Tamandua tetradactyla: one gene and its partner. The protein of the gene in region 2 purifies or fractionates together with the protein of the main gene of each other region. This does not show direct contact. Links are inferred from orthologs where the notes say so. Each region holds a gene or a part of one and is shown on either strand. Other genes may lie near its edges.

Region 1 (6,918 bases), on a different chromosome or scaffold from region 2:
GATTTTTTTTATAGGATGCCTTCTAGGCTATGTTCTGGAGCAGATAAAAGAAAAAAATCGTATGGTAGCCATGACAAACTCTGGGATCTGTCCTGTAACTACTTGTTGAAGAGTGCTTTGAAAACCATAAAAATAAAAAACAATTGCTTTTTATTTCTTTGTTTTGTATATATTATATTAAACAATTAAAAAGGGGGGGCACTACAACTCAACAAAATGGCAAACTACCCAATTCTAAAGATGGGCAAAAAACTTTAAATAGAAATTTTTCCAAAGAGGAAAAGCACATGAAAATGATACTCAACAACACCAGCGATTAGGAAAATGCAAATCAAAACCACAATGAGCTATCATTTCACACCTACTAAAATGGTCACTATTAATAAAATAGAAAAATACAAGTGTTGGAAAGGATGTGGACAAATAGGGAGACTCATTCGGTGCTGGTGAGAATGTAAAATGGTGCAGTTGCTGTGTAAGACAGTTTGGCGTTTCCTCAGGAAGTCAAGTATAGAACTGCTTTATGATCTGGCAACCCCGATACTAGGCATATAACCAGAAGAACTGAAAGGAGGGGCTTGGACAGACATTTTCACACTGATATTCTTAGTGGGATTATTCACAATTGCCCAAAGATGGAAATAGCCTAGGACCCATCAACCAATGAATGGTAAACAATATGTGGCATATGCATATGATAGATTATTATTACACTATAAGAAAGAATGAAGTCCTGATGCATGTGACAACATGGACGAACCTAGTGGCCATGATGCTGAGTGAAATAAACCAGACACAAAAGGACAATAGTTTATGATCTCACTAATACAAACTAATCATAAAAAGCAAACTCAGAGTTAGAATCTAGAATACAGGTTACCAGGGGATAGAATAGGTAGAGAATGGGAAGCAGATGGTTAATTTGCACAGAATTTCTAATTGGGTTGATTGTAAATGTTTGGAAATGGATAGAGGTGATGGCAACACATTATTTTAGTGTAATTAACCACAATGAATTATGTACATGTATGTGGGAAGGAAAACTATGTGGTAGGATGTAGAAGCCAAGAGTTTAAAGCAAGACCTACAGAATTTGTTGCAAGCTGCTGGCCTCAGGATGGTGGCGGTAAACTGTGGAGATTGTTATGTAGAGCAGTCTGCGAGGAAGAGAACGTTTACCCCAAACAGTTATGTTAAGTATAAAGAACACTGTAAGATAAGAATCTTGCTCCCTCAGGAAATGCCTGCATATCTATTGACATCCTGTGGTATATAACAAGGATCTGGTTAAGAATAAAATTGTCTGAAGTTTGTCTGAAGTAAACTCAAGCTTCAGACCCCGAGCCCGTCTGTGTCTTTCTTTCTTCCTTTCTTTTTTTTCTCATCATTCCTTAATATCTTCCGAGCTCCGTTTCAATAGGAAGCAACAATAGGATATGGCACAGTAAACTCCTTTATGGATGATGAAGGTGGTTAATCGTACAAACATAAGAATGTTCTTCAATGAACTAAAACAACTATACATCACTATTATAAGGTGTTAATAATAGGGTAGTATATGGGGAAAAATACACCTAAGGCAAAGTATGGAGTATCGTTAACAGTAACTATTTTAATATTCTTTCAAGAACTGTAACAAAGGTACCACATCATTGCTAAGTGTCAACAGAGGGGTATATGCGAATACTGATTTTTACATGACTTTTATGCAAACCCATAATTTCTCTAATTAAAAAATATATATATACTAAGTGAAAGAAACCACACAGAAAGTACTCCATATGGTATGATTCCATTTGTATACAGTGTAAATATACATAAATCTATAGAGACAGAAATAGATTAGTAGTTATGTAGGGCTGGGAAACGACAGAAAGGTTGAATAGGGACTGATAACAGGTATAATGTTTTTCTTTTCTGAATAATGGGAATGTTCTAAAACTGACCACGGTGGTGAATGAACAACTCTGTTACTGCACACTTCGGATAAATTGTATGGTATGTAAACATAGCTCACTAAAATGGCTTTCTTAGAAAAGGGCCACATTCTCGAGTCAAAGTGACCCGAACATGAAAGGTCAATAACCCTAGAAAAGTTAATGATCACAATCCAAAAGCGACTAGACTGCAAAGTACAGGCTGCGAACACTGTTTCCAAAGCGAATTCCCTACTTTTTTTCTTTGCATGGGCAGGCACCGGGAATCGAACCCAAGCCTACTCCATTCACCTGGTCAAGAAGACAAGCTGGTAAAAGACATTTTTCAAAGCTGCTTTTAAAAGGGATCAGTCGAAGAATTCGGGATAAACGATCAGTCTGGTTGCGTTTTCACACCGTGAAGGTGGGGAGGTATGGAGACACAACCACGTTAACCTTCCCATACACGAACCATCGTCATCCACGGTCCGTTCTGACCGGGTGGAGAGCCGTGAGCAAGGGCGCTGTCGGTGGAGACTTCCAACAGAGGACAGGTCCTCATGCCCGGTGGAAACAGGGGAGGACCTACAAACGCGGAGGAAGCGGCCCCTGCCGCGCCCCCGAGCAGCACGGCTAGGTGTGGCCTGCCCTTTCTCCCTCCCACACGTGGTCCTGGCTTCCCAGCACCGCGAAAGGCAGCGACCCGCTGTTCCTGGAGGAAAGGAACTTCTGGTCTATTTTTAAAACGATTGCTAGAGCTTCAGGCTGCTCCCCTTCGTGGAGGGAGAGAAGAGCAAAGCGTGTAGGGTGTCAGGTCAGGGGGCAAAGCAGTCCCAAGGACACTGGCCTGCAAAGCAGGGCTCGGGGTGACCTCTCGGGCGGCACCGGTGATCCGGACCACCGGGCCCGCGGAGAGACGGCCAGGCCGTTGGCGGACTCCCCGTCGCCCCTCCCGTCCCCGCGCAGAGGCCATGGCGCCCTCGGGACCCTCCCGCCGCCCCTCGGAGGCTGGGCCCGCCCGGCTACCTCAGCGGACCTGGGACCGCGCTCCCCGCCACGCAGGCCGGACGACGGCTCCTGGGCGCACAGGCGCGTCGCTCGGCGGGTTCTGCCTCCCGCCTCCTGCCGGGACCTGGCCCCGTCGGCCGGGAACTATAGCCCGCGGGCCTCAGCGCACGCTCGCCCTCCACCGCCCGCCCACAGGCCGCGCCCACCCACTCGGCGCAGCGACCGCCCTGTGCCCCGGGCGGCACCTCGGGACACGTAGTCCAGGGGCGAGGGCCGCGCCACGGCCGGCTCTCCGTGGGCGCGTCGACGAGCACCACGGGACGGGTAGTTCACGCGCGCGGCACCACGGGACACGTAGTCCAGGGGCGAGGGCCGCGCCACGGCCGGCTCTCCGTGGGAGCGTCGACGAGCACCACGGGACGGTAGTTCGCGCGCGCGGCACCACGGGACATGCAGTCCAGGGGCGAGGGCCGCGCCACGGCCGGCTCTCCGTGGGCGCGTCGACGAGCACCACGGGACGGTAGTTCGCGCGCGCGGCACCACGGGACATGCAATCCAGGGGCGAGGGCCGCGCCACGGCCGGCGCTCTGTGGGAACGTCGACGAGCACCACGGGACGGGTAGTTCACGCGCGCGGCACCACGGGACACGTAGTCCAGGGGCGAGGGCCGCGCCACGGCCGGCTCTCCGTGGGAGCGTCGACGAGCACCACGGGACGGTAGTTCGCGCGCGCGGCACCACGGGACATGCAGTCCAGGGGCGAGGGCCGCGCCACGGCCGGTGCTCTGTGGGAACGTCGACGAGCACCACGGGACGGGTAGTTCACGCGCGCGGCACCACGGGAAGCCCGTCCCGTCCCCGCGGCGTCCCACCCTGAGCCAGGGCGCGCCGCGCAGCACCTCGGGATATGTAGTTCGAGGCCCAGAGCGGCGCTGCGTTCCAGTCGTCGCCCGGAGCGGCTCCCCGGAAGTGACGTAACAAGGCAGTCACGGCGTAGGTTCCCGGTTTCCGCAAACAGAATCGTGGATGGTTGTGTTGGTGAGTGTAGCGGTAGGAGCCGCGTCCCTGCTTTTCCCTTTGTCTTGAGCCTCTCCGCGGCCGGCGAGTAGGTAGAAGGGGCACCTCGACTCCGGCCTGGGCTCGCTTTGCTCTAGCCCTGGGCCGTAAGTACCTGACTCGAGGGTTCATCGTGCCCTTAGCCCAACGCAAAATGGATGCTAGTTGTGGCGACCGATGGCGCAGATGGGACTGAAGACCGAGGGAGCGCGGGTGGTAGAAGTCCCGAGAGCTGCGTGCACTTGCATACCCAGGGCCGCCCTGAGGGGTGGGCCGGGAGGGGCTCCGGGGTGCAAATAGGGGGCTGTCTCTCTTGAGCGGCGGTTGAGAAATTTGAGCAGAAGATTAAGCAAGAGAGGCCTACGGCCGCGCAGGTGACGGGAAAGGTGAACTTGGCCGAAGAATCCCCTCCTCTCCTTTATTGCACCTTTTGGGCCCCGGAGCTGGCCGGGTCCAGCGGGCTGCTCCCTGGACGTTAGACCCTACCCTGTCTGAGCGTAAGCCTTGCGACCCCAGCGCCCTCAGTCGGTCTCGGTGAAACTGAAATGACGGACCAGGATTGCCTGGGAGCTGAGTGGGAAGTCAAATCCAAATGCCCGTTAGGTCATTTACTGCACATCCATCTCCACTGTCAGTAGACTCTCTTTTAATCTAAGCCCTGAGGATTCTGAGGGACAGCGCTTTTCCATTTGAATTTTGGTCATTATTGCACTTTGACTCTCAATTTTAAACATTCATACCCATTTCTGCAATCGTTTGGAACGGTATCTCATTTATTCTGACGGAATTGGTTATGTTTTTTGTGACATCTTATCTGTAGAAAAAGTGGCCTATGTACATAAAATTGGCGCACATTTAAATTGCAACACTTACTTTAGGAACTTCCGCTAAAGAAATGCATCAGACTTCTTTACTTGAATTTAAAAACAACTTTAATATATTCTTTTTAGGAAATACTACTGTGGCAGAGGAAGAGACTATAGGGATTTGATAATTTGATGACCACTTTAACCAGGTAATCATCTTAAATAATTACCCTGCAGATTGCCGAGTGATTTTTTTTTCCCTTCTCAATCAGTTCTCCCTATTTTGCCACCTGTTGGTATTTTGTTACTTCACACAAGTGGGTAGTGAAAGCCAATTTCCCTTGAGACCCTTTCCTAAAGTCAGATTTCTTTAAACTGTTATCATTCTTTTTTCTTTTCTCAAAAGGAGTCTTTTTTTTGTTCCCAGCTTCATATCTTTTAGGTTCTGTGCATTTAATCTTGAGTTTGCTGAATCTTGGTGCTCTTTTTGACTTTCGCTCTTGCTTTACTTGGTTTGAATAATACAGTCTAACATCTTAGTAGTGGGGAAAAGGGTACAACTTCTTAAAAACACAATTCACATAGTACCTCATTGAACCTCTCTCTAGTAGGAGTTCAGTAAGTTTGTTGAATGAATGAAAAAATGAATCACCCTAACAATTCCTGTCTAGTAGATAGATCTGTTATTTCCCTCCCCCTTGCGTTTTACACATAGGAGAAAGAGTTAAGAGACCTAACTTGCCGTTCAACTAATAAGCTCCAGAGCTGGTTCTTGAAACTTCCAAGTCCAAAGTCATTTTTTCTCTTTTCATTTTCTACCTATTTTAGACACTCATTACAAAATAAGGCTTTCAGAAGTCCTGGCTATAGGTTCCCAAACCTTTTCTGATTGGGGTACCCTTACTGTATGTATTTTCTCAGTGCCCCTAGGCCAAAAGAAATACCTAGCAGTTCTTTTTATTAAGTAGTTAATGCCAAAGAATTTATTAAGTATTTATGTCTTAATTTTCAAAAGAATGTCCTATTTAATTATTAAATAACCACAAATACTTACTTGTGGAATATGTGCATTTGATAGGTCCTATACAACTTCTCAGAGTTTGAAATCAGGTCAGACACTTCCACCTTCATTTTCTGTTTAACCTTGGTTCTCTTGTGGTATCGCTTAAGTCTGAGCTTCACAAAGTTTTAACATTGTCAGAGGCTACATATTGCAGTCTGCACTGTTGAAACTGATGCACCTGAAGCTAGTAGTTTCTATGATATCTGCCAGATGTCAAATATCACTGGGTTTCCCTTGAAATTTTTAAGATATCCTGCCATTCCCCTGGGACTTTGTTGGGGTGCCCTAGGGGTACCTCAGCACCAGCTTAGGGTGCTATACAGTAATGACTCACTCAACTTAAGAATCAGAATAGAAATTAACTTTCTTACTGTTATACCCCTACATCATTTGTCAGTTTTGATGCTGATAGAGACTTTTATGGATAAGACTGTAGAAATGTTTGGGTAATTATAATCCTTACTACCATACATATTCAGATATTCATGTGTAATATAAATCAGTTTACCTTTTGATTTTCCTAAAACTTCTAATTGATCACTGAAGTTAAATGGCTAACTTCTTTTTAAAATTACTTGAAAGTGTCCACGTTGGTGTTTATAAACAGTATCCAGTTTTCTCATTTCAGTGTTGGTTTATGAAATTTTATCATCAATTCAAGAAACCAACTATGGAAAACTCTACAAAAGTAGAGGACGGTAAAGAGATCTCTTTGGAAGAGTCAAAGGCATCCGTAAATTCTGAAACAGAAACTTCATTCGTTAATAATGAAAACACTACAGCTTCTGGCACTGGGCCTACCGAAAATGCTCATTCCTCTGACAAAATAGACACACCGAAAAAGAGAAGGATGGATTTTGAAGATGATCTTATAAAGGGAAGTTCAAGTTGTGGGGAAGACATTCCAGCCAAGCAAAGAAAACTTGATCCTGAAATAGTCCTAGAGGAGAAAGGTTCTGGTGATGACGAAGGTATTACAAAAAAAAGAAAAATAGAAGCTGATGATGTTCCAAAAGATGAAACATCTACTGAAGATGGAACTCAGAAAAAGAGAAAGTTAGCACTTGAGG
Region 2 (7,314 bases):
ATGACACATATGTTTGTGTGTTTTGTGCTGTTCATTCAATTCCTTGAGACCTGTCTCTATTTTTTCCATTTTTTCCCCTTTCTTATCTTTTGTCTGTAAAATTGTGGATGTCTTATCCTCTAGTTCACTGATAATTGCTTCTGCTTCTTTACATCTGCTATTGTTTGCCTCCAGTGTATTTTTTACCTCTTCTATTGTGCCTTTCATTCCCATATGTACTGGGATTTTTTGCTTGCTTGTTTTGTGGGTTTTTTTTTTTTTTTTTGCATGTTTTCAAATTCTTTTTATCCTCACCTAGCATTGTCTTTATATCCTTTATCTCTTTTGCCATATTTTTCTCCATCTCCTTGAATTGATATAGGAGATTTGTTTGAATGTCATTAATTAGTTGTTTCAATTCCTGTATCTCATCTGAAGTTTTAGTTTGTTCTTTTGACTGGGCCATATTTTCCTGTTTCATAGTATGGTTTGTAATTTTTTGCTGGTGCTTAGGCAACTGATTCACTTGATGAGTATATTCTGAAGATCAGTTTCTCTCTCTCCTGCCAAGGATTTTCTTGTTGTCTTTGTGCTATAGCTCTTCTTTGATACTGGTTCAACTTGTTATAGACCTTTAGAATAGTTTGTGTTTGATCAGATTTTTTCAGCTCTTATTCATCTGATTCTTACTCTGGATATATGGTATAATTTTTGAGATTGTAATATTTGTGCAACTGTTTCACTCCCGGGAGAAAGCTTCCTTTCCCTTGTTCTCCTCTGGGAATGTTGATCTATTCTGTTTTTGTTGTTGTTTGCATGGGCAGGCACCAGGCATCAAACCCGGGTCTCCAGCATGGCAGGCAAGAACTCTCCTATTGAGCCATTGTGGCCTGCCCTCTGTTTGTTTTTTATTTGCCTCATATGTTTTTTTATTTGCCTTTATATGTTTTTAACACTGTTTTCATTATTTCTAGTTGCTTTTACCAGGAGGGCTTTTTCTGGGAGGAGGGTCCCTGTCCGTTTTTCTCTGTCAAAACAGGCCCAGGACCCACAGAAGTGGTGTAGATAGTTCCAAAGTACTCTGGGGGTGTGCGGGGAAGACCCAGAAGGATGTCAGTCTACTCTATATCTTTCTGATATGTACTTCCCTGGTGTGCCCAGCAGCTGGCACTCTTCAGCCACCTGTTCCCCATAGTCCTAAAATGGTACTGTGCCTTTAATTCTCAGCCGATTGCCTCTGCTGGGGGTGTGGTTGAAACAGAAGTTGCCAGCCTCTTTGGGCTTTGGCCAGGGAGGGTTGGAAACTGTTGCCCAGATCCCAGGCCCTGGAAGCTGAAGTCTCTTACTGCTGCTAACTGCCCTGGCCCTTGCCCACTTCTCCCCTTTTCTTGGGGAAGAGCTGCCCTTTAGAAACCTGTCCCCAACTGACCAGAGAAGCTACTGTGTCTCAACCAGTCCCACTTCCTCCCCTGCTTGGAGTGGGGTTGAAATGGAGGCTGCCAGTTGATTTCTGCCCTGGGCAGGTTAAAACTGTAGCTGTTATTAATTCAGCATCAGTGAGTAAAAGATGGGAAGAGAAGAAGATGAGAAGCAGTTTTACTACTTTGGAGAATGCTGTATTAGTCAAGGAAAGAGATACTGAAATCTTGGATGAAGAAGGGAGCATGGTAAGAGTATTGTGGAGAAGGAAAAGGCTCAGTTGACACCTCCTAAGCAGAATCCTAATGTTGGCACACTTACAAGGAGAAATGACAAGGTGTTGGACCTGCCATTAAAACACTTGTAATCTAGGTGGGGAGTTTAAAACAAACTGACTGTAAGGCACAGTAGACTAGAGGCTATAATCAAGTATGAGCCAAGTTGTTTGAGAGCACTTTTGCTTGATTCCAGGAGGTACAAAAAGAGGGATACTGGAATAGATGAGGATGGTTCAGAAAAATAGTAATTTTATTTTTCCTGGTAGGCTCATGAAGGCTTCATGACAACAGTAAGGCCCCTGAACTTTTCTGGCCCACCCCTCAAGTCCCTGACACTGTCTCTGCACCTGATGGGAGTGACAGATTGGATGAGAAGGAGGGTGCAAGTAAAGTAACTCTGGACCTGTTCTGTCCAGTATAGTAGCCACAAGTCAGATATGGCAATTGAGCACTTGAACTGTGACTAGTCTAAATTGAGATGTATATAGGTGTAAAATACACAATGAATTATGAAGACTTAGTACCAAAAAGAAAAGAATAATTTTTAAATTGATCACATATTAAAACAATAATATTTTAGACATATTGAAGTAAATATATTTTTGATATTAAAAAAACAAACAAACCTGTAGCTGTATTTTCTCAGGAGCTAGAATTCACTTTGAATTCACTAATCAAAAGCTGGAGTCAGTGCCTGTTCCCCGCTCCCCCCACCCCTTTCTGTTCTGGGTAAGAATTGAGTGTTCTGAATTCACTAATCAAAAGCTGCAGACATTGCCTGGCCCTGTCCTTCCCTCCCTCTCGCATTCATGGGATAGAGGGCTTCTATTTCCAGCCAGGGAGTGGCTCCCTAAGGTAGCCCTTTGTGCCAGTGGTGGGTAGATCCCAGCCTCTGCAACATAGAGAGATCTACTCACAGCTTTTTACCACAGTTTATCAGTCTCTTCCTTCTGCTCTTTGCTGGATAGTGTACGGTGTTCTTCGGGTCTCCAGAGCCCCGCAAGCAGTTGTTTCAGTCAGTTCCTGGCTATTTGCTAGCTTCCCTGGAGGGTGAACTGAATCCTGACCTCCCTATTCTGCCATCATCCCTTAGGGCACTCTTATCCCTTTCATTTTAGTTAACTGGCAAAGGGTCTTAGCATTTTAACTGAGAATCTTTTGATGATTTTTCTACTTGAGAATTCCTGGTGAAAAATTAAAGAAGGGGCCAGCTGAAAAAGCCATTTCCCCCTGGGAGGAGGCAGGTTTTTTCATACTTATACTCTTGAAGGAAGATATCTCCCAGATGTTGGGAGATATCAGTTTATATCCTTAATCTGTCCTCCCAGTACTATTAAATAACCTTAATGCATCATGATGAGCTATAAAACTTCCTAAATATAGCATATGCCCAAGAGTTAGCCTGCCAGATTTAAAGTCTTAGCTCATTCTCTGTGCCAGGGCAGTGGCAATAATGTTTCATCAGAAAGTCTTCCTTTGCAAAGAGGACAGCCAGCTCAGCTTTAGCAGCAGGACAAGAATCATAATTTGAAAAGGTTGATAACTTTATGATGTTTAAGGGACCATCTTCTCCTTTGAAGACTGTCATGTCATTAGCTAGAAAATGAATGCTGGTTCCACTAACTCTGTGTTTAGCTTTTGGGGGCTCTTCTAGGTAGATGCTTTCAGTTGATTACTTGGTAACTTTTTTTTTTTTTGAACTTTTAAAAAATTATTTTTAGGGCGGGCCACTGTGGCTCAGCAGGCAAGAACGCTTGCCTGCCATGCCAGAGGACCCGGGTTCGATTCCCGGTGCCTGCCCATGTAAAAAATATATATATATTTTTTTATTGAAATATATTCATGCACATAGAGTCCATCACTTGGAAACTTTCTGAAATATAGACCAGGTACATTAGACTTCGGTTTGAAAAATCCTGGAGCCAGCAGCTAAGCTGTCCAGGGTGCTTTAAGCACACATTTGTGCACTTGAAGGTGTTATGACATTGTTCACATCCCACACACAGGATAGCTGGCTATATGTAGTATGCCTATTTCTGTGAAATTGGGCATAATTTAAAAATTTTATGAATCTCAAAATTTTAAACATACCAGTGATTATAGCCCTGCAGTTATCCAGTTAGTGTGTGACCTGAGCCTGTTTCTTCATCTATCAGTTAGCACCCAAACCTGTTTTGTATAATTATGACTGGTCCTCCATTCTAAAAACTTAGAAAATGCATGATATCGTTACATATTTATTTCCTAGAAATAGAGATATAACTTGAGGGACCTGTTCACTTTGAGAGAGTTCATTGACTGAAGAAAAAAATCAGTCTGAGGCAGTTAGATGTAGTAAAGGTTATTTATTATGTTATTGTGTGTTTTCTTGACCCAGCTCCAGTAGGTAAGAAAGTGATTGATGGAAAAAGCCCCTTTGTCTGCTGGGTCCCTGAGAGCAAGCCAGCCTTCCTTTGGTTGCTGATTGTAGATGTGCTTGTGTTCCTTTCTCCTTCCAATCTGATCTCCCCTGTCTGACTTCTCCAGTGAAGTCATAAACAAATATTTGTGATAGTTTCTTGTTACCATGGTAACTAAAGAAACACAGTAGCTGGTTTCCCCTTCAAGCTTCACTGTCAGTGCTGCTTGAAGGAGGGACAACCCTTGGGGGAAAGCCAAGGCTCAGAGTCATGAAAAATCATTTATCAGGTAATGGGGAACAGCAGTCCACAGTGCTTCTTTTAGAAATCTGCCCTGTACCTGTGAGCCTTCAGGCCCAGGGATAATCAGGGACCCCAAAGGCAGGCTATTGCCATCTCCTAGAACTTTCTGCAGTAAGTAAAAATGTGACACTTGCACATTCTAAGAGCCTACTGCTGCTACTGAGTCCCTAGAATGCTTTCCAGAAAGCCCAGAGGAACCTTCCCTGAAGTTTGATCTGTTCTCTATCCCTGACTCCAGGGTTAAGCTCTCCATCTCAACCTCCATTTTCATTTTTCTTAAATCAAATTCTCTCATAGATTACTTACCCCTGCCCCATTTATGTGCATTCATTCTTGTTCTATTCTTTCTGCCCTTGCTTCCCACCTCCACGTTGAACTCCTGCTTGAAAACTCAGTCCACATTTTATCTTTGGAAGATTTTCTTTTAAACTCTGTCATCACAATTACCACTAACTCTCCAGAAAAAGGGCACAGAGTAAGTTTCTCTTTCTGTGTTCCTATAAAACTTTTACATCCCTTTTGCAATAAATTTAGTTATTGTTTAAGGTTAGAAATGTAGAGGATAAGAGTTGTTAATAAGGGAAAAGCCAAGTTTGTAAGGCTTCAGTCCCATCTACGCACACTTCCAACACAAAAGCCACTTTACTTTACATTTTAAAATTAATATTGGGATTCCAAGTCATATTTAATTGGAGGTACGTTGCAAAAATGTTGAAATCACTGTAAGTTGCAAAGCCAAAATTATACCTAAATCCATCAGACTCGGAAGTTCTGTTTCCTCTGTGGCCTGCCTCTCAAAATATAAGGCTTTTCAGATCTCAGATCCAGTGATTAGAAGGAGTGAAGGTGGACTGGGTGAGGATAGTTATTGGGTAGAGAAGAGACGAAGGTGAAGAGAGCTGTTTGAGCAGTGCCACAAACAAAATCTTTATAATAGACCAAGGCCATAGGTCACACAAGCAGAGAATAAAAGCAGGTCTTACAGGCCTGAGAGCTTCCCTTATTATTATTTGATGAAATGTGGTAGAGCCAGGCCTGAATGCATTAAGCAGGTGGAAGGCTGATAGACTTCACTTAAGCTTCTCTGGAGGCTGCACTATATATCCAGCCACACTTCTTCCCAACTTTTAATCCCCTTTCAGTCTGCCCATGATACTCAACCTTGGGAGCCTTTAAGAATCATCTTTAGCAAAATGCAAATCAAACCCACAGTGAGATACCATTTCATATCCACTAGAATGGCCATTATTAAATAACAAAAAAAAAAACAAAACAGAAAATAGGTGTTAGTGAAGATGCAGAGAAATAGGAACACTTGTGCTTTACTGGCAGAATTATTGAATGGTGCAGCACTCTTTCAAATCCTCAGGAAGTTGAGCATAGAATTATCATATAACCCAGTAATCCCATTTCTAGGTATATATCCCAAAATGTTTGAAGCAAGGACTCAAACAGTTATTTGTACACCAGTATTCATAGCAACATTATTCACCATAGAGAAAAGATGGAATCTTTGCAAGTGTCCATTAACAGATGAATGGATAAACAAAATGTGGTATATACATACAACGGAATATTATTCAGCCATAAAAGGAATGAAGTTCAGGTAAATGCGACAATATGTATAAACCTTGAAAACATGTTAAGTAAAATAAGCTAGACACAAAGATAAATATTACATGATTCCTCCTATGAAATATCTAGAATAAGCAAATTCATAGGGACAAAGTAGATGAAAGGTTACTAGGGACTTGGGGGGGATGGGGAGTTATAGCTTAATAAGCACAGAGTTTCTGTTTTAGGTGATGGATGTTGGTGATAGTCACAGAACACTGTAAATGTAATGCCACTGAATCATGCCCTTAAAAATGGTAAAAATGGCAAATTTATGGCATTTCATTTATAACAATAAAAATAGAAAATTAAAAAAAAATTTCTAGAGGTCATGAGGAGGGTATCTTTCTGACCTTGTGACTGAAAGGATTTATTAAACAGAACCTGCATACATACATACATAGTTATATATCTATAATATATGTATCTATAATATATCTTAACTAAAAGAAAAGATATATTAACCTTAAAATTAAGAACTTTTTTGCTAAAGGACGCCATAAAAAAAGTGAAAAGACAAGCCATAGAGTGTTAGAAGATCCTGTAACACAAATAACCAACAAATGATTAATAAGTAGAATACTAAAGGACTATAAAGTGATGAGAAAGGGACCGCCTATTCAGAAAAAAAATATTCAGAATATAGAAACAGGCATTTTTTTCACAGAAAGTAAAACATACATGGCCAATAAACATGAAATTTAACCTCATTAGCAATCTGGGAAAATCAGTATCTCAGTGAAATCCTTATTACAGCCGGTAGGTTGACTAAAGTCTGATAATTCCAAGTATTGGTCAGAATATGTATCAGTGGAAATGATGTATTGCTAAGCTAGTGTAAATGGGTAACAGTGGAAGGCAACTTGAAACTATCTGGTCAAGTTCACCATTTACCAACCCAGCACTTCATTCTTATATTTGTACCTTAGAGCAGTGCTTTTCAAAGTGTGATCTGCAGACTGTTGTAGACTACAGTCCAGGTTTCTATTTTCCCTGTGTTGATATTTGCACACATTCATCAACCCTCATCACTCACTCTTTAAAAAAACAAACACAGGTTCACTTAAGAATGTCCTTGATGAAACAGTACAGAGTCAACCCTTGAAAGTATGTCTGGAGGAAAATCACTTGTGGGATTAAATTGTACACTAAATTACAGAGTTTTGTCATGAATGAATGTAAGTCATTTTACATTGCATTACATTTTCTCAAAAGTATATGAAGTGTCAGTTATCAATAACATTTGAGCTTTCAAGTGAAAATTATAATTTAGAAACTCTTTCTATCTACCACTAAGTGCTCAACAGCTTCCTACTAGGTTT

The links.
Region 1: the proteins of KPNA6 (region 2) and RNMT purify together in Homo sapiens (co-immunoprecipitation; 3 studies listed by BioGRID and IntAct, counting the BioPlex papers as one, with this or other methods). This does not show direct contact. The link is inferred for Tamandua tetradactyla from reciprocal best matches to the Homo sapiens genes KPNA6 and RNMT.

What each region holds. Positions count from the first base shown.
Region 1 is NC_135344.1:77,650,362-77,657,279, forward strand, and holds the start of RNMT (mRNA cap guanine-N(7) methyltransferase), read left to right. Parts: upstream 1-3,835; 5' UTR 3,836-3,961; intron 3,962-3,972; exon of another isoform or gene 3,973-4,086; intron 4,087-4,929; 5' UTR 4,930-4,994; intron 4,995-6,462; 5' UTR 6,463-6,485; coding exon 6,486-6,918. UniProt on the Homo sapiens protein: Catalytic subunit of the mRNA-capping methyltransferase RNMT:RAMAC complex that methylates the N7 position of the added guanosine to the 5'-cap structure of mRNAs. Binds RNA containing 5'-terminal GpppC.
Region 2 is NC_135328.1:193,718,221-193,725,534, reverse strand, and holds the start of KPNA6 (importin subunit alpha-7), read left to right. Parts: upstream 1-4,270; 5' UTR 4,271-4,345; coding exon of another isoform or gene 4,346-4,364; intron 4,365-4,773; exon of another isoform or gene 4,774-4,853; intron 4,854-7,314. UniProt on the Homo sapiens protein: Functions in nuclear protein import as an adapter protein for nuclear receptor KPNB1. Binds specifically and directly to substrates containing either a simple or bipartite NLS motif.